4 linked regions of the Callithrix jacchus genome follow. The protein of the gene in region 1 interacts with the protein of each later gene in a biochemical or structural test. Links are inferred from orthologs where the notes say so. Each region holds a gene or a part of one and is shown in the gene's direction. Other genes may lie near its edges. The genes, in order: RIPK1, TNFAIP3, BIRC3 and OTUD1.

Region 1 (6,688 bases):
CGCTCTGGTTCCTGGTTCTGCCAGTGACAGATGTATAGGGATCCAGCTCCTTCAGGATTCTGAGATGCTTTCAGTAGGGAAGGCGCACTTGGATCTACAATAAATAATAGCATTTTCTGTGTTTCTGCTCCCAAAGATGATTCTGCCAAGTACTGAGCTAGTAAATGAACACACTGAGTTTCTCCCTGCAAATTTAAATCATTCTTCTGCTTGCTTTTGTTATCATCAAAAAGTCCTAACTCTGGGCCAGGCACAGTGGCTCACAGCTGTAATCCCAGAATTTTGGGAGGCCGAGGCAGGCAGATCACCTGAGGTCAGGAGTTCAAGACCAGCCTGGCCAACATGGTGAAACCCCGTCTCTACCAAAAATATGAAAATTAGCTGGGTGTGGTGCCACGCACCTGTAATCCCAGCTACTAGGGAGGCTGAGGCAGGAGAATCACTTGAACCCAGGAGGTGGAGGTTGCAGCGAGCTGAGATCACGCTACTGCACTTCAGCCTGGGTGACAAGAGTGAAACTCCATCTCAAAAAAAAAAAAAAAAAGTCCTAACTCTGTACCAAATGTGGGTTTTCTAATTCGCCATCCCATAGAAGGAAGGTATGTGTATACAGTAAATACAAAAGGAAAATAAATGTCTTACTTTCAGTGAAAGAGCTCCTAGATCCATTCCTTTTTATTCACTGTGCTGCTAAGAGTGAGATCAGAGAAGGAAAGCTCACTGGGCTAAGAGTCAGGAAACCCAACTCTAGCCCTGCTTGTGCCAGTCACTACCTGGGTGACTTTGGGAAAGTCGTTTGCCTCTCCAGAGTTCATTCTTCTCAATTATAAATGAAACTGTTACAACTGAAAATTTATATATAGTAAGCTCTAGTATGTTTCTAATATTGAATTAGTTTATCCATTTCATAACTTTCATGATTTTTCCAGTGGCCGGATTTGGGCAGAAAGCACTGACTCAGAAACACAAGTTTCCAAGTAGAGGGGTGCAGGATAAACCTCCATGCATGTCTGTGGTGAGCGCAGACCGTGAGGGACAAACACGGTGTCAGTATAAGTTGGAGGTGGTGGGCTAGGAAGATGAAACAGGGTACTTGGCACTGTGCCTGACAATGCACAGAATAAGTGCTCAGTAAATGGTAGCTGCTGTAATTAGCACTGTTATTATCATTGTTAACAACGAACACTTAGCCTTGAGTGCTGGAAGGCACCTCAGAGATGGTCACAGGGGCTCCTTGCTAGGATTCCAAGGACCCCAGTTTCAGCAGCTTCACGAACACCTAGAATTGCACACAGATGCCATGTGTGTGCATATGCTACATTTCTTACACCTTTCAGTAGAGAGGGTCCCTAGTTTCCTTGGCTTCCTCAGAGAAAATGCAATAAATGAGCATGGCATCTGGTCCAGAGGGCAGCCTACCTTAGGGCCAGGTGTGTTGACAGAGGTACCTAGAGCTGAATTTCATTTCCCTCCCTCCTCAGAACTGTCTTCTCCACCACCTTCTCTCTCCTACAAAGATATGCTAAGTGTTCGTTAGAGACAGTACCTAACGAGCTGTCTGACACTTGACAAATTCAGCTCAGCATGAATGTCATTGAGCCCATGCCTCAGGCTAGCGAGCATAAGGTATACAACAAAAAGTGGATATGGTTGCTACCTTTCAGGACTCACATGCTAGTGGAGAAGTCAAACAGACCTAGCTCGGATGCAGAGCGGCCCAGGGCAGTGTCCTGAGTCTAGGATTATAGTGAAGGCTCATGGAAGGAGGTAGAATCTGTGCTGGGCCTGTGTCAGAAACTCACAAGTAGGGAGAAACATGTGGGGAGGTCAACAGTCCAGGCAGAGGCAGGAGCATCATGTCAGCAGATGAGTGGGAAATCTGGTGGGACTGGAGTCTGGTGTGGAGGGAGACAGGAGACAGTGAAAGGAAGATCAGAGAGAAAGGGCAGAGCAGAGCTGTGGCTAGCTCTGAAGACGGAACCTGAGAGGTATGAGTTCATCAGGTAGAGGAGGAGGACCCTTCACAGATATTGTTGAGAGTCGTGGGATCCTGTAAGTGTGGCTGAGCTTTGCTGTGCTGTCTTCCACCTCTGTTTTCTGACGGTGTTAGCCACATTTTTTTAATGGTAAAATTCAAAAACATAAAATTGACCATTTTAACCATTTTTACAGTGGCATTACTTACATTCACATTGTTATGCAACCATCACCGCCATCCATCTACATAACTGTTTTAATGTTGCAAAACTAAAACTCAATCCATTAAACACCAACTCCTCAGTTCCCCTCCCAGCCTCTGACAACCACGTGGGGAGGTCCTTCTGTCTTTAATTTTTTTGAAGAACCACAATACTCTTTTTCTTCTGCTTCAGATGGTATCTTGCTCTGTCTCCCAGGCTGGAGTGCAGTGGCACGATCTCAGCTCATTGCAACCTCCGCCTCCTGGGTTCAAGTGATTCTCCTGACTCAGCCTCCCAAGTAGCTGGGATTACAGGCTCCCGCCACCATGCCCGACGAATTTTTTTTAGAGACAGCGTTTCACCATGTTGGCCAGGCTGGTCTCAAACTCCTGACCTCAAGTGATCCACCTGCCTTGGCCTCCCAAAGTTCTGGGATTACAGGCGTGAGCTACCGCACCTGGCCAATGATACTCTTTATAGCAGGGCCTGCACCATTTTACATCCCCACCAGCAGTGTGTGAGGGCTCCATTCTTCCACGTCTTTGTCTATGTGTGTTAATTCTTTTTTTTTTTTTTTTTTTTTTTTGAGACGGAATTTCACTCTTGTTACCCAGGCTGGAGTGCAATGGCGCAATCTCGGCTCACCGCAACCTCCGCCTCCCGGGTTCAGGCAGTTCTCCTGCCTCAGCCTCCTGAGTAGCTGGGATTACAGGCACGCGCCACCATGCTGACCAGGATGGTCTCGATCTCTTGACCTCGTGATCCACCCACCTTGGCCTCCCAAAGTGCTGGGATTACAGGCTTGAGCCACCGTGCCCGGCCCTTTTTTTTTTTTTTTTTTGAATTGTAGACATCCTAATGGGTACGAGGTGGTTTAGTCACATTTTAAAGAAGAAAGTTTAAAGGATGGCATAGGATAGTTAACCCAATGTTTGGAGTAAAGCCAGGCTTTTTTGCAGTGCTATATTTTTTCTCTTGCTTTTGATCTAGAAGTACTTACCTGTGTGTTTCTCTCTATTCAGAGGAATCTATAAAATGTACCATACACAACAGTAGCGGTGTTCAGATTGGAGCCTACAATTATATGGAGGTTGGTGGGATGAGTTCATCACTATCAGACAGCATAAATATGAACTTTAAAGAAGAGCCAGCTTCTAAGTACCAAGATATCTTTGGTAAGATACCCTTGAAGGACCCAATGTCTATCAACCTTGAACTTTCTTGTGAGAAGGATGTAGTGGAATCTTGAAATTTCTCTGATAATTCTTCCTGAAAGTTTTCTCATGTTACTTCTGCAAAATAACTTTGTGATTTCTGTGTAATTTCTTTGTGATTTATTTATTTTTAATATGGAGATAATAACAGTATTTAATTCATGGCTTTGTTGTGAAAATTAAATGAGTTGATATGTATGAAAGCTTAGAACGCTCCCTGACACATAGTAGGGTCTATAAAAAGTGTTAAACTTTCATCATTATCATCAGTATTACTGCTCAGACCTGGAAGAAATAGCTGTGTCAGGCCCTCATCAAAGGAGATCCTGTAAAAGAGAGAAGACTGTGCCCTCCACAGCACTTCTGCAATAAAATCAAGAGGGCTGTCTCTTACAGGGTCCTACTGTGCAGGACCATAATGCTAATCTCGAGGTACAGTCTGGAAAAAGCAGTCATGAGGCCAAAACAACTTGATTAAGAACTCAGCTTTCTAATTAACAACAGGATTGTCTTTTTGTTCCTGTAAAGGAACCGATAGTAAATGTTAGGCATTGCTGGCTTTGAGGTCTCTCTTGGAACTACTCAACTCTGTTACCGTAGTACAAAAGCAACCATAGACAATACGTACATGAATGAACATTGCTGTGTCCCAATAAAACTTTATTTACAAATGGTGGCAAGGAGCCAGATTTGGCCCACAGGCTATAGTTGGCCAACCCCTGGTCTAACACATTTGAAGAACAGCTTTTAAAATACCTAGAACAGAGGTTCTTAACTTTTGATTAGCCAAGGACACCCTTGAGATTGTAATGAAACCTAGGATCTGTCCCATAAAGAAATACTGACAAAATTTGCCAAATATTTTGGGAAGTTTTTGGACTGCTGACAATCTAGCGGTGGCAACACAGGCCACATTATGGAGGGCTGAGGAAAGAAAGGAGGTTGAAAGGAAGAATGAGATGTTTTCTCCCTTACATTCTGTTTATTGAGGTAGAGTGGGGATTAGGGAATATGTTTGTTGTGGTTGTTTTACATTTTTATTTGTTTCCTTTTATTATTTTTATGAAGGGCTAAGAGAAGAACTAGTAGGAGAGAGGTTATGGCTATCGGAGAAGAGGCAATGGCAGTCGGGGGGTGGGGGGCAGGGAGAAGGGTTCAAAAACAGACCTTTCATCGTGTGAAAGACAAGGAAGGCATTGTAACTGAATGGGTTCACACCTGCTGGACAGTTTCCTTGATTAAGAGGAAAGTGAACTGTTGGGCAGGGGTGATGGTCAGGAGGTAAGTGGCTTTAACTCTGGCCAGATGTAAGTGAAAAATGTCCAAAAGGAACAAAAATGGTGGGTTTTTCCTTTACATCCAGGAAAGTCTAACACAAACAGGGTCACCGGCTAAGATTGAATAGAACACCCAGCCTTGTAGCCACATAGGGGTTTTGTTCACAGAGCCATCAGCTGTGGCTCAGAGATGTGTCTGCTAGGAGGAAGGAATGCCTTATTCTTTTGTTTTGCTTTTGAGACAGCATCCTGCTCTGTGGCCCAGGCTGGAGTACAGTGACACAGTCATGGCTCACTGCAGCCTTGAACACCTGGGCTCAAGTGATCCTCCTGTCTCAGCCTCCTAACTGAGACTACAGGCATGTGCCACCATGCCCAGTTAATTTTTTTTTTTTGTAGAGACAGGGTCTTGCTATGTTGCCAAAGCTGGTCTAGAACTCCTGGGTTCAAGTGATCCTCCTTCCTTAGCCTCCCAAAGTGTTGGGATTATAGACATGACCCACTACGCCAGGACAGGAATGCCCTATTCTAAGTCACACAAAGACTCCATGTGGGCTAGCAGGGATATAAAATGTCCACCAAGGTGTCAACAGCTATATAATTAAGACGTTATCTTTTTCACTGTCTCCTGCTACTCTTCACCTCACTTGGGGTTTTTTTTAGCAATTCAGGAAGCTGGAATGTTTGAATGGGTTTTATTTAGCTTGATACCTTCTTCTCTTTCCCATTTGGCAGATAATACCACTAGTCTGACTGATAAACACCTGGACCCAATCAGGGAAAATCTGGGAAAGCAATGGAAAAACTGTGCCCGTAAACTGGGCTTCACACAATCTCAGATTGATGAAATTGACCATGACTATGAGCGAGATGGACTAAAAGAAAAGGTTTACCAGATGCTTCAAAAGTGGCTGATGAGGGAAGGCATTAAGGGGGCCACAGTGGGGAAGCTGGCCCAGGCACTCCACCAGTGTTCCAGGATTGACCTTCTGAACCACTTGGTCTACATCAGCCAGAACTAACCCTGGATGGGCTATGGCAGCTCAAGCGACTCCTCACTTAGTGAATTGCTGGAGACCCCAAGGATGTGAGGCGTGACCAACTCAGTATACCTCTGGAGGCTATATTAGTAAACAGCAAACTGTCCTCATGAAACCAGGATGTCAGCTGCCAGACAGAAAGTTGAGGGCAGTTGCGCCCCAGGTCCTGTGCTCCTTGAGGCTATCTGTGCTCTACCTAAGTATCTGTAACCTGTTGAACAAAGGAAGCAGTACCTGTAATAAATCAAGTTCACCGCCTCCTCCCTATTCACTTAAATACGAAGGGCTGTAAAAGCTCAGGGCTTTGGTTCACTAGAAGCAAAGAGCCCCCTGACCCCTTCTTTCAAATAGAACCTTTTGTCTTTGTCTTCAGTACCTAAGTTGGCTGCCTCAGAGCATTCAGAATTGTCCTCACTGATAGGAGTTCTGTATCCACAGAAATATTGTTTCCTATATTTCATAGCTGGAGAATGGGGAAAGAAATCTGCAGCAAAATGGTCTCACTCTGTTGCCCAGACTGGTCCCAAACTCTTGGACTCAAGTGATCCTCCCACGTCGGCCTCCCAAAGTGCCATGAGCCATTGCGCCTGGCCAACAATCCGCTGTGAGGAAAGTGAAGCAGGAAGACCTCTTAATGGCATGGCACCAATCAAAATATGACTCCTAATCGGGTTTGGAAAGGAAGGGAAGAGATGTCTGAGGAAGATTCTTTTCTTTCAGCATATGCTGTCTTAGAGTTTTGTTGAGACAAGAAGAAAAACTCAGAGAACATAAAATCAGCTTTTAAAATTTTGTGCTGTGGTCTTCACAGAGGTTCTTGTTATAACCAAAGTGGAGTGAAACTCTAAGCCCTGCTCAAAGAGATTTGTTTGTATCACAACTGCAGCTCACTGCCAAATTACAGGGTCTGTAAATTACAGGGTCTGTTAATTACAGGGTCTGATACAGTATCAAATACTGTATCAGTCACTAGAGGC
Region 2 (7,168 bases), about 120 Mb from region 1:
ACCTTTAAATAAGACAGCGAAGTAACAAATGTTAAAAAAAAAAAAAGTTAAGGGTAATATTGCATTGTTTGACACTTTAAAATGTATCTGAAACATTTGTTCTTTAATCTTAAGTGTGGAGAAGTCCAAGAACTGGAAACTTGGGCAGTGGGTTTTGATTTCTAAGGATTTGATTTCAACTTTACAGGCTGTGCAAGGCTAAACCTACCAATGCGAGCTCACTGGGGTGTCCAGTATTGACATTTGCATATCTTGCCTATGGTTTACAGCCCTCACTATTTTAGATCTTTGGTGAAAAATCTTTAGATTTGGAAGAGAAAAATAAGAGTCAGACAAGCAAAAAGAGATAGCACCTCTTTTGTTTAAAATCTTTCTCCTGCCCATCTCTTTCCATCTGATTGTGGCAGGCACTGTAGCCGCAGCTTTGGTGTTGTGGGATTGCAAGGGGCAGATGTTGAAAGACCTGGCTGCTAGGCTAAACTTTGCCCTTGAATGGCTGTGGGATCTAAGCAGTACCTGTAACTCCATTGCCTTAGCTGCACACTAAGGTGGTAGTGTGGTTTCAAGGAAATAAGGCCATCTTTGACTTTTAGTCCCTCATCAAGGATGGTGTTGGCCTTCATTAGGTGGTCAGGTAGGGCTTGTTGGGTGGATGGGTGGATGGGTGCATGGGTGGGTGGGTGGGGGGAATGGATGGACAGACTGATGGATGGACAATATTGTGAAAGAGACTTTTGCTGTGCCACAAAGGAAAGGTATATGTGTTATTTTTTGTTCTGCTATGATTTTGCCCAATTTCACCTGTAGTGGATGGCTGATATCAAAGGAAAACACCATCTGATCTGGAGAATGACTCCCCCTATGCCTTTCCCAGCAATCAGATTAAGAATCCCAATCTAAAACTATCACCAGAAAACTCCTCAGGAGAAACCATGGGTCATCTAAGTCCAACCTCTCTCCTTTGAGTGGGCCACAAGAATTTAGACCACCTTATCAATGGTGTTAAGAGAGCCTAGACCCACCCAGGAGTAGCTACCCTAAAATCTAGGTTTCTTCTCCTCCCTCTTCCATAGGTTTAACATTTTATCAACTGGAGAGTTGCCCTGACAAATAGGTTGCTGCAGGAGTGGAATTAATAATCTCTGTGAAATTTCCTAGAGAATGTCTTTGTGCTCTGAAAACATCTTCATCGTCTTGGAAATTAGGAAGTGTGGCCAGGCACCCTACAAAGGGCTAGCGAACCAGAGCTGGCTCTCCACGCGGTTCCGTACTGGAGAAATCCCACATTATGTTAATTCACATCATTCTGAGCTGTTGGCATGGGTTGTAGATGCTGGTCTTTGCCCCTTTCCTCCTTCATTTGCTGGAGTGGCCTCCTGGTGGAAACTTCCTTCCTTGTCTGCTTCTAGACTTTCATTCCTTCTGCTAGTTGCTTATGCTTAAAGATTTCAGGGTGAAAAACTGGGCAGACATGCATCTGTGTTAGGACCTGGAAGGTGATGACAGAATTTTATTGGCAGTTGAGTTGAAATGATTGAGCTTCAATATCTGTTCTTGGAAGTACAGAATTTATTGTTCTGTTATTATTTTGTGGTTTTTCATTTTTTGTTTTTGTAGAGACCTAGGTCTCAATATGTTGCCCAGTCTATTCTCAAACTCCTGAGCCCAAGTGATCCTCCCACCTCGACCTCCCAAAGTGCCAGGTTATAGGCATGAGCCACCGTGCCCAGCCTATTATTAGTCTGTTTCTTATTCTGATATGAAGTCTGGTGGGAAGGTTCTGAAGGAATGTTGACTGCTCTTAAAATTGCAGTGCATCTTGCTGGAAGTGGTTTTTTTGTTGTTGATTAGAAAACATTCCGCTTTAACTCTTTATAAACATCAGAATAAACTTTATGAATAAACACTGAAATACTTCTCTTTGGGGCTAAAGAGGAAACACCAACCAGGAGCCTAAATGACAGCATAAAATTGCAAGATTTTTCATAAAATAGTTTACCAGCATAGGGAGGGAGTGATTACTCAAGAGTTTGCCCAAGGGCAGGATTGCTTGGTGGTGGTCTGAAGGGAAGGAGCTATAGACTTGTCGGGGCTACATTGAGCCCTTAACTGGCATCCGGTACTCCCCAAATCCAGCGCTGTTCAGCGTGGTCTCAGAATGAAACAGGAGCTTCAGTTGATTTTGAGGAGCAGTACCTGTTGCTGACAGACAGGGTTGGCTCCCTGACAAACGTTACTGAAAACACAGGTTATTCCCCTCCTCCTCAGTACCCACTCTCTGCCTTCCGTCCCTTATTTAGACTAATCTTTTAAAGTGATGTAACTTAAAACAGCCCAGTGTGAGTTAATCTCTGGGCCAGCTAGTATCCCGGGAGTAGAGGTGCTAAGATCTTTTGCCTACAGATCAGGGTAATGACAAGATCAAACACTGGGGTTTCCTGCAGACAGGTATATAGGAGTCATATCAAAGTCAGGCTAATGGAATGGCTGTTTTTTTTTCTTTCCTTTTCAGGTGCTGGAGAGCACAATGGCCGAACAAGTCCTTCCTCAGGCTTTGTATTTGAGCAACATGCGGAAAGCTGTGAAGATACGGGAGAGAACTCCAGAAGATATTTTTAAACCTACGAATGGGATCATTCATCATTTTAAAACCATGCACCGATACACACTGGAAATGTTCAGAACTTGCCAGTTTTGTCCTCAATTTCGGGAGATCATCCACAAAGCCCTCATCGACAGAAACATCCAGGCTTCCCTGGAAAGCCAGAAGAAACTCAACTGGTGTCGGGAAGTCAGGAAGCTTGTAGCGCTGAAAACGAATGGTAAGACTTGCTCTGTTGTGCTTCTTTTGCCTGGGTGATAGCTTCTGCTTGCTGGGTCCCCATTCATGGAGCTTTAATAGCACAAGCCCAAACTCAAATCTCTTGAGATTTAGTAGACACTTTAGTGTAGAAACTCTATACGGGACATGTGATAAGAGCTGACTTGTTTTGTGAATCTATTTATTAAGGATATTTTCTGATTGTGTATATTGCAGAGCACATTGAGGCTTGGAGAATGCGTTTTTAATACTCCAATTAGGTGATTTGTTTCTAATGCTTGCAAATGTTTAATCATCTGTAAAATACCCTTCACTGGCTCGTAATGGAAATGTTAATAGCCTTAAGTTCAAAAGAAAAGCATGGTGTGAAAACTGGTAGTACGTTTGTTTCCCACTGTCATTAGAAAATGCGTGTGATGTTCTTATGCCTCTCGAATTGGTAGCATTTTATGGGTTAACCAGTGAATGGCTGTTGAAGACATGAGGAATTTCTTTTGTCTCCTCCTCCTCTCTGACCTGGTTCTACTGCCTATGCCCTGCAGTGTGAAATAGATCGATGCTGAGATTTTTAGCATGAGTTTTAGACTTCACCTTCATTATTTTTAGAGGTTCCTAGTCACTGAAATCCTTCCTGCCTGTGCTGTTCTGCCAATGGCCTTTACCAGGAGTAGCTATTTCCTATTCCAAGCTTTACTGCTTTATTTTTTAATCATTTCCCTTGGATAAGAATCTGTGCATCAACAGGAGTGTCTGTTGCATACAGTTTCATGCAGGCACAAAATTCTACTCTATGGATGTGGATAATTATTACAATAAGCAAGTGGACTGTACAAGATCAATTAAATGCTCATAGACTACATAAGACCAGGAATCTCAGATACTTAAATCTGTGACAGTCCCAAACCATCCTAATAAAAGTAAGATGTCCAAGAGCAGAAAATCATTGTTGACAATGATTACGATAAGAACACTGACTTAATTAACTTAATTGGTACATTAACTTTGGCTTTTTTTGACTTGGGTAACTTAGAGTGATTGGTGGATGTGGGTTTTTAAATTTTGATTCTGGGGGGTCTTGTACATTGCTTCAACAGCTTGCCTAGATTTATGAAACACTGATTCTTAGAAACATAGGTAGAAAGAAAACTAGGGATAGCTACTGTCTGCATTATTCTTGGCATTAAATTAAGTGATACATAGAGGTAGGTAATTATGTAAAGTCATCATGGGGTTTATGTGCCTGACAATTTGTGGTTTTAATCCTCTCCCATTTTGTTACTAAAAAGAGATAGAGTAAACTTTGGGGGAGTTGGAAAGAAAGATTCTGCTGAATTAAAAATGTGGTAGGAAGGGGGAAACCTTATTAAGAAAATTAACTGACTTTTTGCCTTGTTTCCTTAAGATAGGAAATGCTCGATTTCCACTAGGAAAAAAAAAGGGACTATAAATAGGAAACACTTATTTTGCAAACATGTCATTGAAATCAACAAGGAGTCACACTACAAATAAAACTACAAAAGCCAGGTGCATTTTGGTAACGTTTTTTGGGAAATCATTTTTAGACTCAGAATCCTTTTGTTTCTTCACTTTCTAGAAAACTCCTTAAGAGTCTAAATGTGGAAGAAAGGATATCGGGAGGGAGGAATACAAATGACTTTTTTTTCTTTGATTTTGATTAGCACCTTTTAAAAAAATAATAATAATCTTTCCGTTGATAGGAGGGTTATTCAAAGGCAATATCTGGGGAGGGGGTGATTCACAAGTTTGCATTTGAGGATATGAGACTGTGGTGAATGAGGAAGGGAGTAGGTGGCATAAAATTGAAACTTCATGTGAAAAATTCCAGCGTCTATTGGCTGCAGCGATTTCACTTGTATAATGAGTAGCCCTATTCCAGCTCACCCTGACCACACCCACTTGGAAAGTCCAGGGTGCACCTCGCAGTTTAAATGTCTACACACCAGAACAAAAAGTACAATAGCTGTTGCTCAATTGCTAGTCAAATAACTTAGCACTGGGGAATTCCAGATGTTACTTAGGGAATTTTATACTGGTGCATCTCAATAAAGAACTGAAAGTAAGCACAAGAAGAAGAAAAAAAGCCTTATCTTTGCTCTAGATTTTGCAAAGGGGAAATTTCAACAGAATGCAATCATTGCTACACGTCTGCCAAGGCACAAGGCTTGGGCGATCTTTTTTGTCCATTTGTTTGAATACTTACTTAGCTAGTTTTTCTAAATGTGTAACTTGAAGGAATACTGGCTGTGGATACATATTTGAGGGTTTTATTGGTCTCTTTATAGTTTGACTGTAATTATAATTTGATAACATTTCAAATAGCATTATTGCCCTACTTATAGAGTAATATGAGAAACAGTTTAACTTTTCTTTATAAAGATTATTTTGTATTTGCCAAAAGATACCAAGGAGTTAACTTTTTTGTTTTAAACGTTTCCCCAAAAGATTTATTGTTTGGAGGTTGAAAAAAATGCAGCCCATTGAATTGTGAGTTTTAAACTGGAAGGGTCACAAATGAATGGCATACAATTCAACCTGCTTTTTTTCTTTCTCAAAATGTCAGCCCTAAATACTGAATTATTTTCAAATGTAGACACCCAGGTGCTTTTTAACTTTTGTACTTTACAGTTACTAACAAGCAGGTTTGCATAACGCGTTTTTGAGAGCTGGACTGGCAGGCCATAGGTAATTCAGTGTTGCCAACCTCACTTTACACACCAGGAGAGGAAACTCCCAGGGCCCAAAGGCTAAAGGGGAATGGTCAAGTCATTTGCCATTGAGTCATAGCCATACCATCCCAGTCTAGCAAGCCATGCCCGCTTCCTGGTTTGTGCATGTTGCTCTGTGTGATCTTCCTTAGGATTAGAGAGCAGCAATGCCAGTGCCTTCACCAGCAAATCAGGGGATAGTAGAAAGGGATGGGGCTTTAGAGATCATCACTCAGTGCCCTCATTTCACAAAGAGGAAAAATGCCCAGAGAACCTAAGGAATTTCCCCCAGGTCACCTAAATGAGTTAGGAGCAGAGTTAAGCTAGAACCAAGGTCCCCTGGCTCCTTTGCTGTTGGTGTCATTCATTAAAAAGAAAAATGAAAAGAACTGTTTTTTCCTTAAAGCTGTCATTATCTTGTGAAATACCAATTTGTACTTGACTAGGAAATTAAACCACTCAATGACCTAGCACAGTAGCAGGGCTGGTTTATTCTGAAAACCTTTGCTGGACCTTAAATGCAGATAACTTGATTTTCCTTCTCTTCTCCTCCTTTCTGTCCTCAGGTGATGGCAATTGCCTCATGCATGCCACTTCTCAGTACATGTGGGGTGTTCAGGACACAGACTTGGTACTGAGGAAGGCGCTGTTCAGCACGCTCAAGGAAACAGACACACGCAACTTTAAATTCCGCTGGCAACTGGAGTCTCTCAAATCTCAGGAATTTGTGGAAACGGGGCTTTGCTATGACACTCGGGTATGTATTGCCCCCTAATTATCTATTGACAGAACTCCATGGTGGGCATAGGGTACCCCTGGGTGAGTCCCTGCCCTCTGGTAGCATCTAATGGCCCAGGTCATATGAATTTGCCTAAGTGAAGCATACTCAATGGAAAACACCAGAAACCTATGGGACTAACCCAAGGCTTTTGCCACTGCTTTTGGTTAGCAGATTCCCAGCTGTGGATCTGTTCCCTCTAGCAGCAGGTCTTCTGCTCATGGCCTTTTCCATTGGTGTTTTGTTGTTTTTCAGTTTGATTGCCCTTAGCTTTGCTGAGCCAGCCAATAACATTACAACACATGCCTCACCATCCTCAGTCACAAGTTTGGAATTTTTGTGAACATTTGGATGAGGGGCTGCAATGTGATACCTCATCAGGGATTTTTTTTTGTAAGCAGGTGCTGTCCCTGTCCTCCCCAACTTTTGAGTTTGCCTTGTAGTAGAAAAGAGTAAAGAAAGAAAACCAAAATGGGGCAAAAAGGATGATCATTTGAATGATGGTTTCATGAAAGGGGAAAAATAAGCTGAGTTATATAAGTGAATAATTGCGGAGTGATGTTAGAATGACTTTAGCATAGGAGTACAGGGTACATTCAAGCTTTTTGTCCTCTTTCACCTCCTCCCCTTAGAACTGGAATGATGAATGGGACACCCTTATCAAAATGGCTTCCACAGACACACCCGTGGCCCGAAGTGGGCTTCAGTACAACTCACTGGAAGAAATACACATATTTGTCCTTTGCAACATCCTCAGAAGGCCAATCATTGTCATTTCAGGTGAGATGCCTGCAGATCATGTATCTGTACTTAAATGCTTTCAGCTTTAATGCCTTGGCTCTT
Region 3 (7,676 bases), on another chromosome or scaffold:
TCTGTGAAATAGGGTTTACACCATTTATAATCTGCAGAAATGAAAAAAAGGAACAGAATCTGTGCTGAACCCTGACATACTATAGCCATAAGTAATATTCATAAATGTTACACTTGAAATACTTGCTTAAAATATAAGCTGCAACCCCCTCAAAACTGTATTTGTAATAAAATTATTAACATTTACAATAGTTTTATATTGTTTTGACCAATTATGTTTTAAAAGTAATAAAAGCAATATCAATGATAATGTAATCAAAGAGGAATTTTTTTTTTTTTAAGATGGAGTCTCACTCTGTCACCCAGGCTGGATGCAGTGGCACAATCTTGACTCACTGCAACCTCTGCCTCCCAGGTTCAAGTGATTCTTATGCCTCAGCCTCCCAAGTAGCTGGGACTACAGGCATGTACCACCACACCTGGCTCATTTTTGTATTTTTAGGAGAGATGGGATTTCACCATGTTGGCCAGGCTGGTCTCAAACTCCTGACCTCAGATGATTCACCTGCCTTGGCCTCCCAAAGTGCTGGTATTACAGGTGTGAGCTGCTGTGCCTGGCCAAAGAGGAATTTTTTGTTTTGTTTTTTTGACACTTAGAGCTTTATGATCCTAGAGAAAAAAATAGATTTCAATTTATAATGTGTTTATTTCAGATATGTGACAGAGAGATCATAAAAGATGCCCAATATAAACATGTATTAACATTCTGTAGGGGAATTGGAATGTTCAATGACAAAAGGCAATGATAAAATATTTTCAGTTATTAAAGATGGCCTGATATTAATTACTTCATGAATGGTCATGTATTTCAAATGACTATGGTATTAGGATCTATCAAATACATTCAAAAGAGTGCTCTATCAATTTTTTCCCCAAAATATCTATGTTTACATTTTATAGATTCGTGACATGTACAAAAGCTTTTTTTTTAAAATTGTGCTTTAAGTTCTAGGGTACATATGCAGATCTTGCAGGATTGTTGCATAGGTACACTCATGCCATGGTGGTTTGCTGTTTCCATCCCCCTGTCACCTACATCAGGCATTTCTCCCAGTGTTATCCCTCCCCAATCTCCCTGCCTCCATCCCTCCCCTAGCCCCCAACCCCCCAACATACTCCGGTGTGTGATGTTCCCCTCCCTGTGTTCATGTGTTCTCATTGTTCAACACCCACCTATGAGTGAGAACATGCGGTGTTTGGTTTTCTGTTCTTGTGTCAGTTTGCTGAGAATGATGGTTTCCAGATTCATCCATGTCCCTACAAAGGACAGGAACTCATTGTTTTTTATGGCTGCATAGTATTCCATGGTGTATATGTGCCACATTTTCTTTGTCCAGTCTATCATTGATGGGCATTTGGGTTGGTTCCAGGTCTTTGCTATTGTAAACGGTGCCACAATGAACATACATGTGCAGGTGTCTTTATAATAGAATGATTTATAATCCTTTGGATATATACCCAGTAATGGAATTGCTGGGTCAAATGGAATTTCTATTTCTAGATGCTTGAGGAATCGCCACGCTGTCTTCCACAATGGTAAACTAATTTACACTCCCACCAATAGTGTAAAAGTGTTCCTATTTCTCCACATCCTCTCCAGCATCTGTTGTCTCCAGGTTTTTTTAATGATCACCATTCTAACTGGCTTGAGATGGTATCTCAATGTGGTTTTGATTTGCATTTCTTTAATGACCAGTAATGATGAGCATTTTTTCATATATTTGTTGGCCTCATATATGTCTTCTTTTGAGAAGTGTCTGTTCATGTCCTTCAACCACTTTTTTTTTGGAATGGGTTTTTTTGTTGTAAATCTGCAAAAGCTTTATGTTTTAATGTTAAGTTAAAAATGGGCAAGGGAATACAGAGCTTTTCAAAACTCTTCTGGTGAGTACATAATCGAAAAAGTGTAAGGCCCACAAATTATTTGCAATAATCTCAGGAGTGAGTTGAAAATGGCTTAGAAAGTCTTGAATGAAGCAGACTCAAATGTGGATTAAAATCTCCATGTGATAAATATACTTAGTATTCTGAAATAATTACAACTGGAACTTTAGCTGCTGTGGACAGCCAAGTCCACCTAAACCAGAAGATGCCTTGCTCAGTCCAAGTGTGTGCAGAATGCACTGGATGCCATTTCCACAGCATGTTGAAGTCCCAAAAATCCCAAATAATCTCTGCCTCTGGTTAGTAATCGTCTTTGATCTACTGGAAACCAGAAAATCAGATGAACTCACCCAATGCATCTGTTACCCTGGTAGGGACCACTCTCAGATGAAGTTGCTTAAATTTACTTCTTAGAAAACATTGAGGAAAATATGGCAGTGCAGTGTGACTCAAAGATGTCAGGTTTTCCTAAGAATGGCACTGCAACTCAGAAATCTGCCCTGCAAGAGGCTAAAAGGAGGGATTTTTTAAAATAGCATACTCCACCCTTATTAAAAAAAAAAACTCACCAAAACAAAACAAAGTATTTCACTACAGAAAATTAACAATTTCAATCTTTAAACTAGTAAAAAATAAACTGCAATAACTGCTTGATTTTTTTCCACATACCCCTGCATTTGCTTTCAACTGTTACTTTCTTGATCAGAACAAAAAGTAAAAATAAATAGAAAGATTTCACAAAGTTTCGATTTTTTTTAATGCTGGACTTTTGCATCTATGGTAGATTGAAAAACCTAACCTTTTTACGTGTAGTGTCTGGCGGATGGAGGGTGGGAACCAGGGCGCATTGACCTTTTCCAGGCAGTCTGAGCAATGATCGTCCTCTCTATATGGGTTATCAAGATTTTCTCTGACCCAAGAGCAATGAAGCAAATGTCTTTCAGTAAATGCAGCGCAGATATGCCACGGTAAAGAGTCATGTTTTTGGGTCATGGAAATCCCCGAGTGGATTTTCCAGGCCACTGAGTAAGAGGAAGTGTGTGTGTAGTTATTACCGCTGGAGTTCCCCTAATTTCTAAAAGAAAAGCCCATGCAAACCACTCGGGGGGGCGGTGCGGAAAGCCTAGTGCGGCTAGGGGTGGGGATTCGATGACGCATTTAAAAGGCAACGTGAGACTCGTGCCCTCCCGCACAGAGCAGGCCGGGCGACAGATGTCAGTTGAAAAGACTGGGCTCCTCCTTGCTGGTGCGTGCGTCGTCGGCCTCTGGACAGCAGGCGGGTGAGGAAGGAAGGCGAGTGTGAGTGTGAGTGTGTGTATGTGTGTGCGCGCGGGCGCGCAGCACCCTTGCGCCTCCCCAGGTGTAAGAGGTGCGCCGGCGGCTGGCCCAGGGGCGCTCAGGGCTAGAGACCAGGGCGCCGCACAGGTTGAGAATCAGAGGGTGGGGCGCAGTCATCAAACACGGCTCTAAGCCCAAAGTAGGCTCTAGATAGGTTCCAGGTGCTCAATTTCTGTTTTACGTTTGGAGTGAGCCAGTGGAATTGTGAAGCTTTGGCATTTTGATTTGGTTGCCGAGAGTTATCACTGGTTCTTTGCAGGTGCCAAATACATTTCAGGACAGAGCCTAACGCAGAGCTCTGGCACAGGAAGGACTCAGTAAAATGTTGAATGAACAATGGAGGCATGTTTCCAAGCGGTGGTAGGAAGACAGCAGTTTTTGTTTGTCTTCCTGGGGATCAGCATGGAAACCCAGCAGTGCTCTTACTCTGGTCAATACATTGTCGAAGGCATTTACCTGGTGCTAACATAAAATAATATTAAATACTGACTTTATTTGCTGTTATTTATTACTAACATTGAGTACTGCTACCTGCTATATGCTAGTTTTCTCTCTGAAGAGTTTACATGCATTTTTCACATTTATCATGATCGTAAGAAGCAGGTACCATATTTATCTTCATTTGACAATGAGGCAACTGAGACTCTTGGACATTTACTTGCCAAGGTCACACTTCTGGATACTGGACTGCTTGGTATGGGGCACCCCAGATGTCTGATTCCAAAGCCTGATATTAATCGATCATTGAACAGACTCTGTGGTCATTAATGTAAAATTGATAGAAGTGCTGTGGTCACTCAGGGTTCAGTCACATTTGCTAACATTTACTTCTTCAATGGGAAGTCTTAGTGTCTACCTATATGCCAAGCTCTGCAGATGCTGTAAGTGGGAGGGCAGGTACAGAGATGAAACATATTAATAGTTGCCATTCTAAAAGAGCTTACTGTCCAGGGGGAGGCAGAAAGAAAAGGCACACTTGCCCTCCAGTGTCAAAGAAATGAATGTGCCACGTGCCCAGCAGGGTATGGATGCCCAACAACCCTGGGATGGGGGAGGTTGCCCGCTTGGTAGGTTACATGGAAGAGTCAGGAGAGGAGAGGCTGGGGACTGAGCCAATCTGAGAAGGAACCCCTAGCAATGAAAGAGGAATTGCAAGAGCTTGGTGCCAGAGAAACCCAGGGAATGGGACATTTCTAAGAGGAAGTGTGCCCCAGTGTCAGATGTAAAAATTTCCACTGGTTTTGGCTAAGAAGCCATTGGTGTTATCAATACTGAGAGCAGTTTTGAGTGATGCTGATTTGATGAGTAAATGGCAGAGGGAAAATGAAAACATTAACCATACACACATGTTCAATTTGCTTGGTTGTGACGGGAAGGTGCAATACAGGGTAGTTGGTAGAATAGAAAGGGATTGAAAGAGGATTTTAAAAAGTGCTTTTATTTGAAAGTTGAGATAGGTTTAAGCATGAGTGTTACGTGGAAGGAAAAGGGCCAGTCAAGAGTGAGATGAAAGAGAGTTGAAGAAATGAGGGGGATGGGATTAAGAACAAGATTTCTGAGGCAGTAGGAGAGGGTAGGATCCCATAAGAGGCAAATCTTTGAGGCAGCAAGTAGGTTGTGAGCAAAAAAGGCTTAGATATGAGAATGTGAAAGAGTTCCTACTCAGTGATGTCTCTTTTCTTTGAGAAATAGAAGGCAAAGCAATTGACTGAAAATGAAGTGGAGTGTAGTGGAGAAATTTGAGGAAGGTGTTAAAGGTTTAAAAGAGGTGCACGGGGCAGTGTGCTAGGGAGCTGAGTGGGGCTAAAAGGAATTGCTAAAGGTTGGTGAAGGAGTCTGAAGTGATGCTGGTCCCAGTCTGCAGGGTTGCATCTAGGTGTTGGAAATGTTTAGGACAAGTGATCTAGGGTTGACATCTTGGCATATTTTTGTATTGTTATTGTATAGTTGTTTCTTAAATTTCCACAAATATATGCCTTGCTGGAGTGCAGTGGCCTGATCTCAGCTCGCTGCAACCTTTACCTCCCGGGTTCAAGTGATTCTTCTGCCTCAGCTTCCTGAGTAACTGGGACTACGAGTACGTGCCACCACGCCCGGCTATTTTTTTTTTTGTATATTTAGTAGAGATAGGGTTTCACCATGTTGGCAAAGCTGGTCTTGAGCTCCTGATCTCAAGTGATCTGCATGCCTTGACCTCCCAAAGTGCTGAGATTACAGGTGTCAGCCACTGCACCTGACCTAAATCTTCTTTAGGATAAGATTTGTGTAAGGGATTTGCAAACTCAAATGCAGGTGATATAAATGAGAAAACCTCTGAGTGTCTCTTTTTCTTTTTCTTTTCTTTTCTTTTTTTTTTTTTGAGACAGGGTCGTGCTCTGTCACCCAGGCTGTAATGCAATGATGCAGTCTCATACTCACTGTAACCTCCATCTCATGGGCTCAAGCGAACCTCCTGCCTCAGCCTCCCAAGTAGCTGGGACCACAGGCATGCACCACCATGTCTAGCTAATTTTTGAGTTTTTCTGTAGAGATGGAGTTTTGCCAAGTCACCCATTTTGAACAATCAAGCAATTCATCTACCTCAGCCTCCCTAAGTGCTGGGATTACAGGTGTGTGCCATGGCGTGAGGCCTTGTGGGTGTCTCTTTTAATAAACTTTCATATATTTTAAATGAAAGCATACTCTATTTACATATTTGACATGAAGGAATATTCTTCCTTTCTACAAAGACACATGGTTCTCCTATTTTTCTCAAAAGTTTGTCCTTCTTCCTCTACTTTTCATTTTTGTTACTTTTGATAGACACATGTGTTACACTGATTTCACTTTCCTCATAATTCTGTTGTAAGAAAAACAATAGTGCCAGTCCAATGACAAATAGCAACAGTCTGTTATTGCTAGACTGTTACTGTTAGCAGAGACTACCAGAACAGTCTCAGTATCAGGGAGTCAAAGATAACACGTTCCCTCTCTAAAGGGCACAGCTGCTGCTCAGCTCTAGATGATTGCTGCCCTGCAGAACTATAGGCACAGCATTGCTAGATATTTTGATTTTTCAAGAGAAGCTTGGAATCTAGAATGTGATGGGAAGTCTCTTACATTTAAAAATGTTGGCAAATAATGGTAAGATTTAAAAATACTGTGGTCCAAGAAAAAAATGTATTTGGAAACTGTATTAAATTCAAATAAGGCATGCAGATTAATCCACAGCATGGTACAGTGTGCATTTTCTGGTTTCTTTAATTGCACTATGATTATGTAAGGTGTTGGCTTTGGGGAAGCTAAGTGCAGAGTATGCAGAAACTATTATTTTTGTAAGTTTTCTCTATGTATAAATTTCAAAATAAAAACTTAAAAAATTAGTGAAGTACTATAATGCAATTTTATGTAAGCCAAACATGATATGTCTACCAGTTTGAGACCTCTGGTTTTTTGTTTTTGTTTTTTTGAGATGGAGTCTTGCTGTGTCACCCAGGCTGGATGGAGTGCAGTGGTGTGATCTCAGGTCATTGCAACCTCTACCTCCTGGTCTCAAGCGATTCCCCTGCCTTAGCTTTCTGAGTAGCTGGGAATACAGGTGCACGCCACCGCACCCAGCTAATATTTGTATTTTTAGTAGTGATGGGGTTTCACCATGTTGGCCAGGCTGGTCTTGAACTCCTGACTCCTGAACTCCTCAAGTGATCTGCCTGCCTTGGCCTCCCAAAGTGCTGGGATTACAGGCCTGAGCCACTGCACTAAACAGAGACCTCTGTTTTTTTGTTTTGCTTTTAATCTCTTTTTGGCCTTTACAGTGCCCAGTAGAGAACCTGATATATGGTAGACAATCGTAATTACTATTGCTCTACTTTGGAGAAGTTTTTTTTTTAAAAGATCATTGTGCTCCATCTATGAATTGTTTGACTTTTAAAACTGTCTTTTTGTTTGTTTGTTTTTGAACAGGTTTACAAAGGAGGAAAACTGCTTCTTCTAGATTTTTCTTTTCCATTTTCTTCTATAGATCAAAACATCTTAAGATGGAGACCTAAAATCCTAAAAGGGACTTAGTCTAATCTCGGGAGGTAGTTTTGTGCATGGGTAAACAAATTAAGTAGTTAACTGGTGTTTTACTATCCAAAAAATGCTAATTTATAAAGATGATCTAGTTATATAAGGTATAACTATAATGAGCTTGAGTTTGAATTTGATTTGTGGAAGTAAAGCAGAAGTGATTCTAGCTAGGTCATATGGTTAAAGCATTTTTTTTTTTAAAGAGTTGGCCAGGCAGTCTCCTACTAGCGTATTCTCACATTTTGTAGGATAGAAACGGTACCTGTGATTGGGAAAGATTTTAAAATGAGTTATTTAGAAGAAAGAGCTAATATTCAACCCACTGCAAAATTAAAGAAACATGCAAGTGAAAGCTTTGACATGTTACAATACATCTACAGTGACAAAGAAAAATCAAGAACAAAG
Region 4 (7,688 bases), on another chromosome or scaffold:
CTCTGCAACCTCAAAATCTTGCGCTCAAGCAATTCTTCCCCCTCAGCCTCCCAAGTAGCTGGGACTACAGGCATGTACCACCATGCCAGGCTTTTTTTTTTTTTTTTGTAGAGACAGGGTCTTGCCATATTGCTTAGGCTGGTCTTAAACTTCTGGGCTCAAGTAATCTTGCTGCCTCAGCCTCCCAAAGTGCTGGGATTATATACATGAGCCATGGCTCCTGGGAAATTTTTCCCCGCTTAATTGGATGTATTTAATGTTTATCTACAGACATAGAATTCAGCTTCCTTGCACAGTGTTTTCTTAAAAATCTCATTTATAGTCTTCCCATGTTTTAATGTAGAGTGCATAGCAAAAACTTTACTAGTAATTCTGTGCTAGGTTTTGGGATCCTTCTGAGGAGCTTACAGTTGAGCAAGGGAAAACATAAACCATGCGAATAACAACAACTCACCTCCTTAAAACTTATACTCTTCAATCGTTCTGATCATGTAATGATTTTTCATGCATATTAATTTTAATTACATAATTACATTATAGATAATTATGTGAACTCATGAGAAATCAGATTTGCCTCCTTAATCTCTTTGCTATCACCTGCAAGGCTTTGTCTTCTCTTAGCTTCCAAGGGCAGTTTCAAAGTTGACATCATGTCTGCTTTAGAAGGTTTCCTATAGGATCACCTCCTCCAGGAAGCCTTTCCACATTGAGATACAGAGTGAACACGGATTCCTACCGCCAGTATGCAGTCTTGCATAGTCCACTGCCCCAGACAAACTAAAAAGATTTTTTTAAATGCCTTCCTATGTTTGTTTTGAATCTTCATCTCTTTGCTTTTGTCCTTTGCTAACTGGGTACATCACAGGTAGTGTGTCTTTCGTTGACCTTGTGTTTGTTGTTTTTGTTTTTTTCCTGCATTTACCCCAACCTGTTGAAACCTGTTCTTGCTTTAGGATTTAAATTCTAATATTTTCCTATCTCCCTTCAGGCTCCAGTTATGCTAGCCCTGCTAGGCGCACAGTGGGTATGGTAAATACTATTTGAGGATGGCCTTGTTAACAGTCTCGTCTTCTGTTTCAGAACACCAGCTACTGAAAGAGTTCAGTGTGAAGTGCTTCATGCGCAGAGCAATAGATGCCCAGCAAATCAGTGATGAAATCCAAGTATAGTAATTTCCTTTTTCTAATTAGCCACGAGAGCTTCAAGCTCCCAATGGGGTAGTTACCAGAATTTCAGAAGTTAAGACAGTCATTTACCTTCTTCTGAGTTAATTTACCTAAACAGCTGAAGTGACCTGAGCCGGGATCCTGCCAGTCATACTGCCCAAAGATAAGTAAAAGGCCTGGCTAGCGTCAAGGGACCTGGATAGAAATCTTGGCTTTGCCACTGTCTGAGACATCTTTAGAACTGGCTTTCCATCTACTCATTCACTTAGTAGATATGAATTAAGTCTAATTATGTGCCAGGCACTGTGTTAGAGGATGGAAATACAAAGAGCAAGACCAAGTCTCTCAATTCAAGGAATTCACATTCCACTGGAAAGGTGGGGGCAGGAGTACAGCTTACATCACCTACAGGTCCAGGTTCCCTATCTCTAAAATCTTAGGACAACCTCTAGGTTCAATTTTAATGTGTTGGGTCTGTTAAATTTAGCATTTGATCAAAGCTCAGAACAGAGCAAAAGTCTCCCACCACCTCTGGCTCTCCCTTACAAAGGCAGGCATTACAAAAAGACTCGGTAGAAGCATTTTCTTTAGTTTGTCTTGCCCTAGAATGCAGGTCACGACTTTCTCCACTGCTTTTGACCTCTGGCTAGCAATTGTACCTATTTTCAAAAGGCCCTAAGTGATAATGCTTTTGGTATTCTGAGAACGGCTGTTTATGAAAGGCTTCCTTGCTTTCGCCTAAGTCAGATATTTACCAGGTGGCATAGGTCAGAGGTGCAGAAAAGTTTGTTTTGTCTTAGCAGGGCAGGAGGATCCACTAGAGGACTCACTCTTAACAGGTGAGTCCAAGGAAGCGCCTACAAAAGACGCAGTGGTGAAACTAGCTGGGCACCTGTAATCCCTACCCAAGGCAAGGCTGAGGAAGGGGGATCGCTTGGACCCTGGAGGTCGAGGCATGATGGCGTCACTGCATTCAGCCTAGATGGCTAAGCAAGACCTTGCCTCAAAAAGAAAAAAAAAGGTAAAAGATGTGGTAGTGCCAGGCGTGGTGGCTTGGGCCTGTAATCAATCCTAACACTTTGGGAGGTTGAGGCGGGAAACAGCTTAAGGCCAGGAGTTCCATACCAGACTGGGCAACTGAAGTGAGGCCCTCGCCTTAAAAAAAAAATTAGCTGGGTGAGGTGGTGCACGCCTGTGGTTTCCAGCTACTCTGGAGGCTGAGGCTGGAAGATCGCTTGAGCCACGGGAGGTCAAGGGTGCAGTGGGCTCTGACTGAGCCACTGCACTACAGCCTGGGCGACAGAAGGGACCCTCATCTCTAAAAAAAATAAAGAAAAAAAGAAAAGAAGCAGTGGTGAACGCAAGCAGGTATGGTAGCCCAATACCATGGGGAGGCCAAACAGGCTTTAAGGCAGCATTCCGTCCTCCACACCCAGCCCGGAAGCTTTCCTGCCACACAAGCTTTCCAAGCATGCTAGCTCGCCCCAAGCAGCGCCCATCCCGCAGCATCCACTGCAGCCACCGCAGAGAGCGGCGCAGCTTAGAAACCCGTCCCCAGGTGGGGAAAACGGTCCGCGGGAGTCACGTGGGCGGGAGGCCCAGCCAGAAATCTCAAGACTGCGCAGGCCCCTGAGCCTCAGCGCCCCCGGCTCCGCCCCGCCCGCGCGCGAGTGCGCGCGCGCGCGCGGGGGACTACGCCCGTGACGTCGGCGGGGCACAGCGGAGCGGGACAGGAGGCGGGGCGCGGGCCGGAGTGGGTGGGGCGAGTCGGTGCTGCTGAATCGGGCGCCCGGACGAGTCGCGCATTCCAGCGGGGTCATGTGACGCGGCCGCGAGGCCTGAGGTAAACAACCGCGGCCCCGCCTCCCGGGCCTCCGCGCGCCCCGCGCTCCTCCTTGTCGGCGAGACGCGCTCTAGCGGGGTGGGTAGCTTCTTCCGAGAGTCCCCTGCGGCCGCCGCAGCAACTGCAGCGGGCAAGGCGCCCAGGGTCTGCAGGCCGAGCGCACCGGCAGGGGTCGAGCGCGCGTCCCGTCCCCGCCCTCCCCCCACGCTGTGGCGCAGCAGGAATTTGGCCGGGACCCGGGAGCTATTCGCGGCTGCTGACGCGCGGCGGCCGGCGACCGGGCGCTCATCTCTATTCTGGGGCCGTTTGGTCACCGCGCTCCGCCGGCCCCCTCCCCCGGGCCCGGAGGGTGTGTCCCCCGCTCGGGGGCTCGCCGCGCCTATAAGGGGCCGAGCGGCGGGCAGGGACATGCAGCTCTACAGCAGCGTCTGCACCCACTACCCCGCCGGGGCCCCGGGTCCCACGGCCGCAGCCCCCGCGCCGCCTGCAGCCACCGCCGCCGCCCCCTTCAAGGTCTCGCTGCAGCCCCCGGGAACCGCCGGCGCCGAGCCCGAGACCGGTGAGTGCCAGCCCGCCGCGGCCACAGAGCCCCGGGAAGCCGCCGCTGTCCCCGCCGCCAAGATGCCTGCCTTCTCCTCTTGCTTCGAAGTGGTGTCCGGGGCCACCGCGCCCGGATCCGCAGCCGCCGGCCCGCCCAGCGCGTCCTGCAAGCCGCCACTGCCGCCGCACTACACTTCCACCGCGCAGATCACCGTGCGGGCCCTGGGCGCCGACAGGCTCCTGCTGCACGGGCCCGAGCCCGCTCCCGGCGCCGCGGGCTCTGCGGCCGCCCCGCGCGGCCGCTGCCTCCTGCTGGCCCCGGCGCCCGCAGCCCCCATCCCGCCGCGACGGGGCTCTTCCGCCTGGCTCCTGGAGGAGCTGCTGCGGCCCGACTGCCCCGAGACGGGCTTGGAGGCGGCCCGGGAGGGGCCCGATCGGAACTTCCGACTGAGCGAGCACTGCCAGGCCCTGGCCGCTGCCAAGCATCGAGGCCTCGCGCCCACCCCGGGGAGTCCCGACGCCGGCCCCGGTCCGTGGGGCGAGGAGCACCTGGCGGAGAGGGGCCCCCGGGCCTGGGAGAGGGGCGGCGACCGCTGCGACGCGCCTGGCGGGAACGCGGCTCGGAGGCCCGACCCGGAGGCCGAGGTGTCTCCCGGCCGGAGCAGCGAGGCTGCCCCGAGCAGCGCGGTGGAGCCGGTGGTTGTCCCCAGGTCGGATCCCAGAGACGAGAAGCTGGCCCTGTACCTGGCCGAGGTGGAGAAGCAGGATAAATACCTGCGGCAGAGAAATAAGTATCGATTCCACATCATTCCCGACGGCAACTGCCTGTACCGAGCTGTCAGCAAGACTGTGTACGGCGACCAGAGCCTGCACCGAGAGCTGAGGGAGCAGACCGTGCACTACATCGCCGACCATCTCGACCACTTCAACCCCCTGATTGAGGGCGACGTAGGGGAGTTTCTCATCGCTGCTGCCCAAGACGGGGCATGGGCTGGGTACCCCGAGTTGCTGGCCATGGGGCAGATGCTGAATGTGAATATCCACTTAACTACTGGAGGGAGGCTGGAGAGCCCCACGGTGTCTACCATGATTCATTATTTGGGCCCAGAGGATTCCCTGAGGCCCAGTATTTGGCTCAGTTGGCTCAGTAACGGACACTATGATGCTGTATTTGATCACTCCTATCCTAACCCAGAGTACGACAACTGGTGCAAACAAACTCAAGTGCAGAGGAAACGCGATGAAGAACTTGCCAAATCTATGGCCATATCCCTGTCTAAAATGTATATTGAACAAAACGCATGCTCTTGAAGTGTCTCAAAACCTTAACACCCTGGGAAAATTGCATACATAACTTGTGTTTGGAGAATCACGTGAACTCTAATCAGGGTAATAGCACTTTCAAACTTCCTAGTAGATTTTACTGTAGGTGTAATGCCTTAATCATCTTTTTGAATGTTTTCTCAGAGCTGAAGGTTGCTGGGCACCCAAATGATGTTTCATGATAGCTTAGGGTGATTTTACTGCTATTTATAATTTGCTGTATAAAGTGAGCACTACTTAATTTGCAAGCTGTTTTCTCACAGTGTAAATTTGTTCATTCCTGGTAGTCTATTTTCTATAAAAATGTATTTTTGCACAACATTTTTAAAAACTGGTGTACCTTCATCTATGACGTGTCCCATTTTGACAGCTTTCAAGCATAAATCCAGAGAAGTGCTTTATATGAAATGTATTATTTTGAACAGAGTTTGTGATTTGGTAGTTCTTACGTTGTTGAAATTTGATTTTCACAATTCTTAGATAATTATTTCAGATGGATATTGATGTATTCTTGTTACCAAGTGTTTGGCCCATTCCATTTTGATGAAACAAATCTGTTCTGTTGGAAATAATTATTTTTCTAGAAATGGTGAATCTTTTAAAGAGAAATACTTAACAGAAGGTTGTGGGAAGGTTTTTTTTCTTCTTTTAAGGGATAGTACCAGGTCTTACTTGAATGAAAGTCTGATATTTGCCGATGACAGAGTGATTATTCTGTACCCTGGTTAATGTGTAAATTGTCTGGTGCTCTCAGTTTTATTTACATTTGTCACTTTGTTATAAGAGAATCTAACTTGGTATAAAATTTTGTGACAAGATAAGCCTCCTGCTTTATATAACTTCTTGGATCCAGCTAAGAGATTTATAAACTAATGTCATAAATGTCTGGAGCCAACCTTGGCAGTTATAGCAGGAGAACACTGTCTTAGTATTTCTTTTACATTCTTTCAAAAGGCAAAAAAGGATTGCCCTGTATTAACTTAGAAATGTCTGTAAACAGAGCTTGTGTGGTTTGCTGGGTCAAACAATGTTTCCCACTTAAAATCTATCTCATTGCCACTTTAACTACTTTTAGTCATATTTATTAAGTAATGCAGTTTGTACTTTTTTATTTTGTAACATTTTGTGATTTTTTTGTACAAAACTGTATTTGTACAATAGAGCAATTCCCAGCTGATGGAATGAATGAATAAAATGCAAAATTATACTTTTACAGTGCTTTCATGGATAGTGTTTTTTAAATTCTGATTCTTGAAGGAAACTTTCTTACACATGTGCATATACACAGTTCTTTTTTTCCATAAAGATGCCACAGCAATAGAGAAGTTTCCTAAATTCTCACATGAAGAGGACAGGCTAATCATGAGTAATTTCAAAGGATGAGTCTGAATAAAATATAATTTAAAGGTGGAGTAATCCAAGAAATTGCTCTCATTATTTCTAATTATAATTCCTGTTTACAATTCTAGCTGTACCTATTGGCTAATGAAAAAGGAAGTGCAAGTTTTGTGTCAGCCAGCAGCATGTCTAATTAAATGTCATATTTTTGTATTCCACTCTCAGTATAGATTTTAACGGATAAAAGAGTAACCAAAGAGATGCACTCATTTTTGTCTAGTCTGGCCTCTTGAGACCATGGGAATCTGTTTTAAGATGTTGAGAAGGGCGTCGTTTAAATACGTGTGTTCAGCCACCTCAAATTAGTGTGTTGAATTTGGGGTCTTGGGGAAATGATTGGAAGAGGTTGCGCTTTTGGGGAAGTGATTCAAGTCATGAGCACTCTGCCTTTGTGAATGAATTAGTGCCTTTTATAAAAAGGGCTGGAAGAAACTAGCTTAGGCCCATTTTACTGTTTTGCTGTTCTGCCACAGGAGGACATCTAGATAGTGTCATCTGTGAGGAAGGGACCTTTACCTGATGTGGAATCTGCCAGCGCCTTGATCTTGGACTTCCAGCCTCCAGACTGTGAGAAATTTCTGTTCTTTATAAATTACAGGTATTTTGTCGCAGCAGCACGCGTGGGCTAAGTTGGCGCGCCCCTGTGCATAATGTTGGGGTATGTTTACTGCAGAATAAAAGCAGCTGTTTTGGATATTTTACTTTTCAGTTGGTCGTTTAGATATCACAGTCATAGACACAACTGAACTTGAGTTCATTGGTTAACCACGTGTTTGGAAGGATGCCATTGAATATCAAGGAAAGAATTCGTCAAAGGTTTAAATGTTTGCTAATCACAGATCTCTGGATTTTTGTGTAGGTAAGTTTTGCTTTGTGGTATCACTAATTTGGAAAGAAAGGAATTCTGTTATTTGAATTACTTGGCTACTCCTTTTCTCCACTTTATTTAGAGCTGTATTAAATTTGGAGGTACTTAAAATTTATAGAAGAATAAGTAGAATACACAAAAATTTCTAAAAGCATTCTGTAAGCCTATTACTGTTTTGATGGGTTCCTGTGTGTTCTGTCATTTTCAAATTAGGATTCCAAGTCCTTGTTTCTTTTTCTTTTTTGTTTTTTTTCTTAAAATAGGGTCTGCCTCTGTCACCCAGGCTGGAGTGCAGTGGCACGGTCATGGCTCACTGCAGCCTCAACCTCAGGGCTCAAGTGATTATCCCACTGCAGCCTCCTGAGTAGCTGGGACTACAATAGGCATGCACCATCACATCCAGCTAATTTTTTTGATTTTTAGTAGAGATGAGGTCTCACTATGTTACCCAGGCTGGTCTCAAATTCCTGAGCTTAAGTGATCCTCTTGCCTCAGCCTCCCAGAGTATTGTGATTACAGGCATAAGTCACCATGCCCAGTCCTGTTTTTA

What was found.
Region 2: of the proteins of RIPK1 (region 1) and TNFAIP3, one has a biochemical effect on the other in vitro, tested with the Homo sapiens proteins (2 studies listed by BioGRID). The link is inferred for Callithrix jacchus from reciprocal best matches to the Homo sapiens genes RIPK1 and TNFAIP3.
Region 3: of the proteins of RIPK1 (region 1) and BIRC3, one has a biochemical effect on the other in vitro, tested with the Homo sapiens proteins (5 studies listed by BioGRID, with this or other methods). The link is inferred for Callithrix jacchus from reciprocal best matches to the Homo sapiens genes RIPK1 and BIRC3.
Region 4: of the proteins of RIPK1 (region 1) and OTUD1, one has a biochemical effect on the other in vitro, tested with the Homo sapiens proteins (2 studies listed by BioGRID). The link is inferred for Callithrix jacchus from reciprocal best matches to the Homo sapiens genes RIPK1 and OTUD1.

What each region holds. Positions count from the first base shown.
Region 1 is NC_133505.1:27,533,222-27,539,909, reverse strand, and holds part of RIPK1 (receptor-interacting serine/threonine-protein kinase 1), read left to right. Parts: intron 1-3,202; coding exon 3,203-3,355; intron 3,356-5,406; coding exon 5,407-5,693; 3' UTR 5,694-6,688. UniProt on the Homo sapiens protein: Serine-threonine kinase which is a key regulator of TNF-mediated apoptosis, necroptosis and inflammatory pathways.
Region 2 is NC_133505.1:144,647,060-144,654,227, forward strand, and holds part of TNFAIP3 (tumor necrosis factor alpha-induced protein 3), read left to right. Parts: intron 1-2,336; exon of another isoform or gene 2,337-2,409; intron 2,410-2,512; coding exon 2,513-2,822; intron 2,823-6,113; coding exon 6,114-6,304; intron 6,305-6,957; coding exon 6,958-7,105; intron 7,106-7,168. UniProt on the Homo sapiens protein: Ubiquitin-editing enzyme that contains both ubiquitin ligase and deubiquitinase activities.
Region 3 is NC_133511.1:37,313,678-37,321,353, reverse strand, and holds the start of BIRC3 (baculoviral IAP repeat-containing protein 3), read left to right. Parts: upstream 1-3,072; 5' UTR 3,073-3,129; exon of another isoform or gene 3,130-3,163; intron 3,164-7,163; 5' UTR 7,164-7,676. UniProt on the Homo sapiens protein: Multi-functional protein which regulates not only caspases and apoptosis, but also modulates inflammatory signaling and immunity, mitogenic kinase signaling and cell proliferation, as well as cell invasion and metastasis.
Region 4 is NC_133508.1:23,881,866-23,889,553, forward strand, and holds OTUD1 (OTU domain-containing protein 1), read left to right. Parts: upstream 1-3,034; 5' UTR 3,035-3,417; coding exon 3,418-4,860; 3' UTR 4,861-6,085; downstream 6,086-7,688. UniProt on the Homo sapiens protein: Deubiquitinating enzyme that specifically hydrolyzes 'Lys-63'-linked polyubiquitin to monoubiquitin.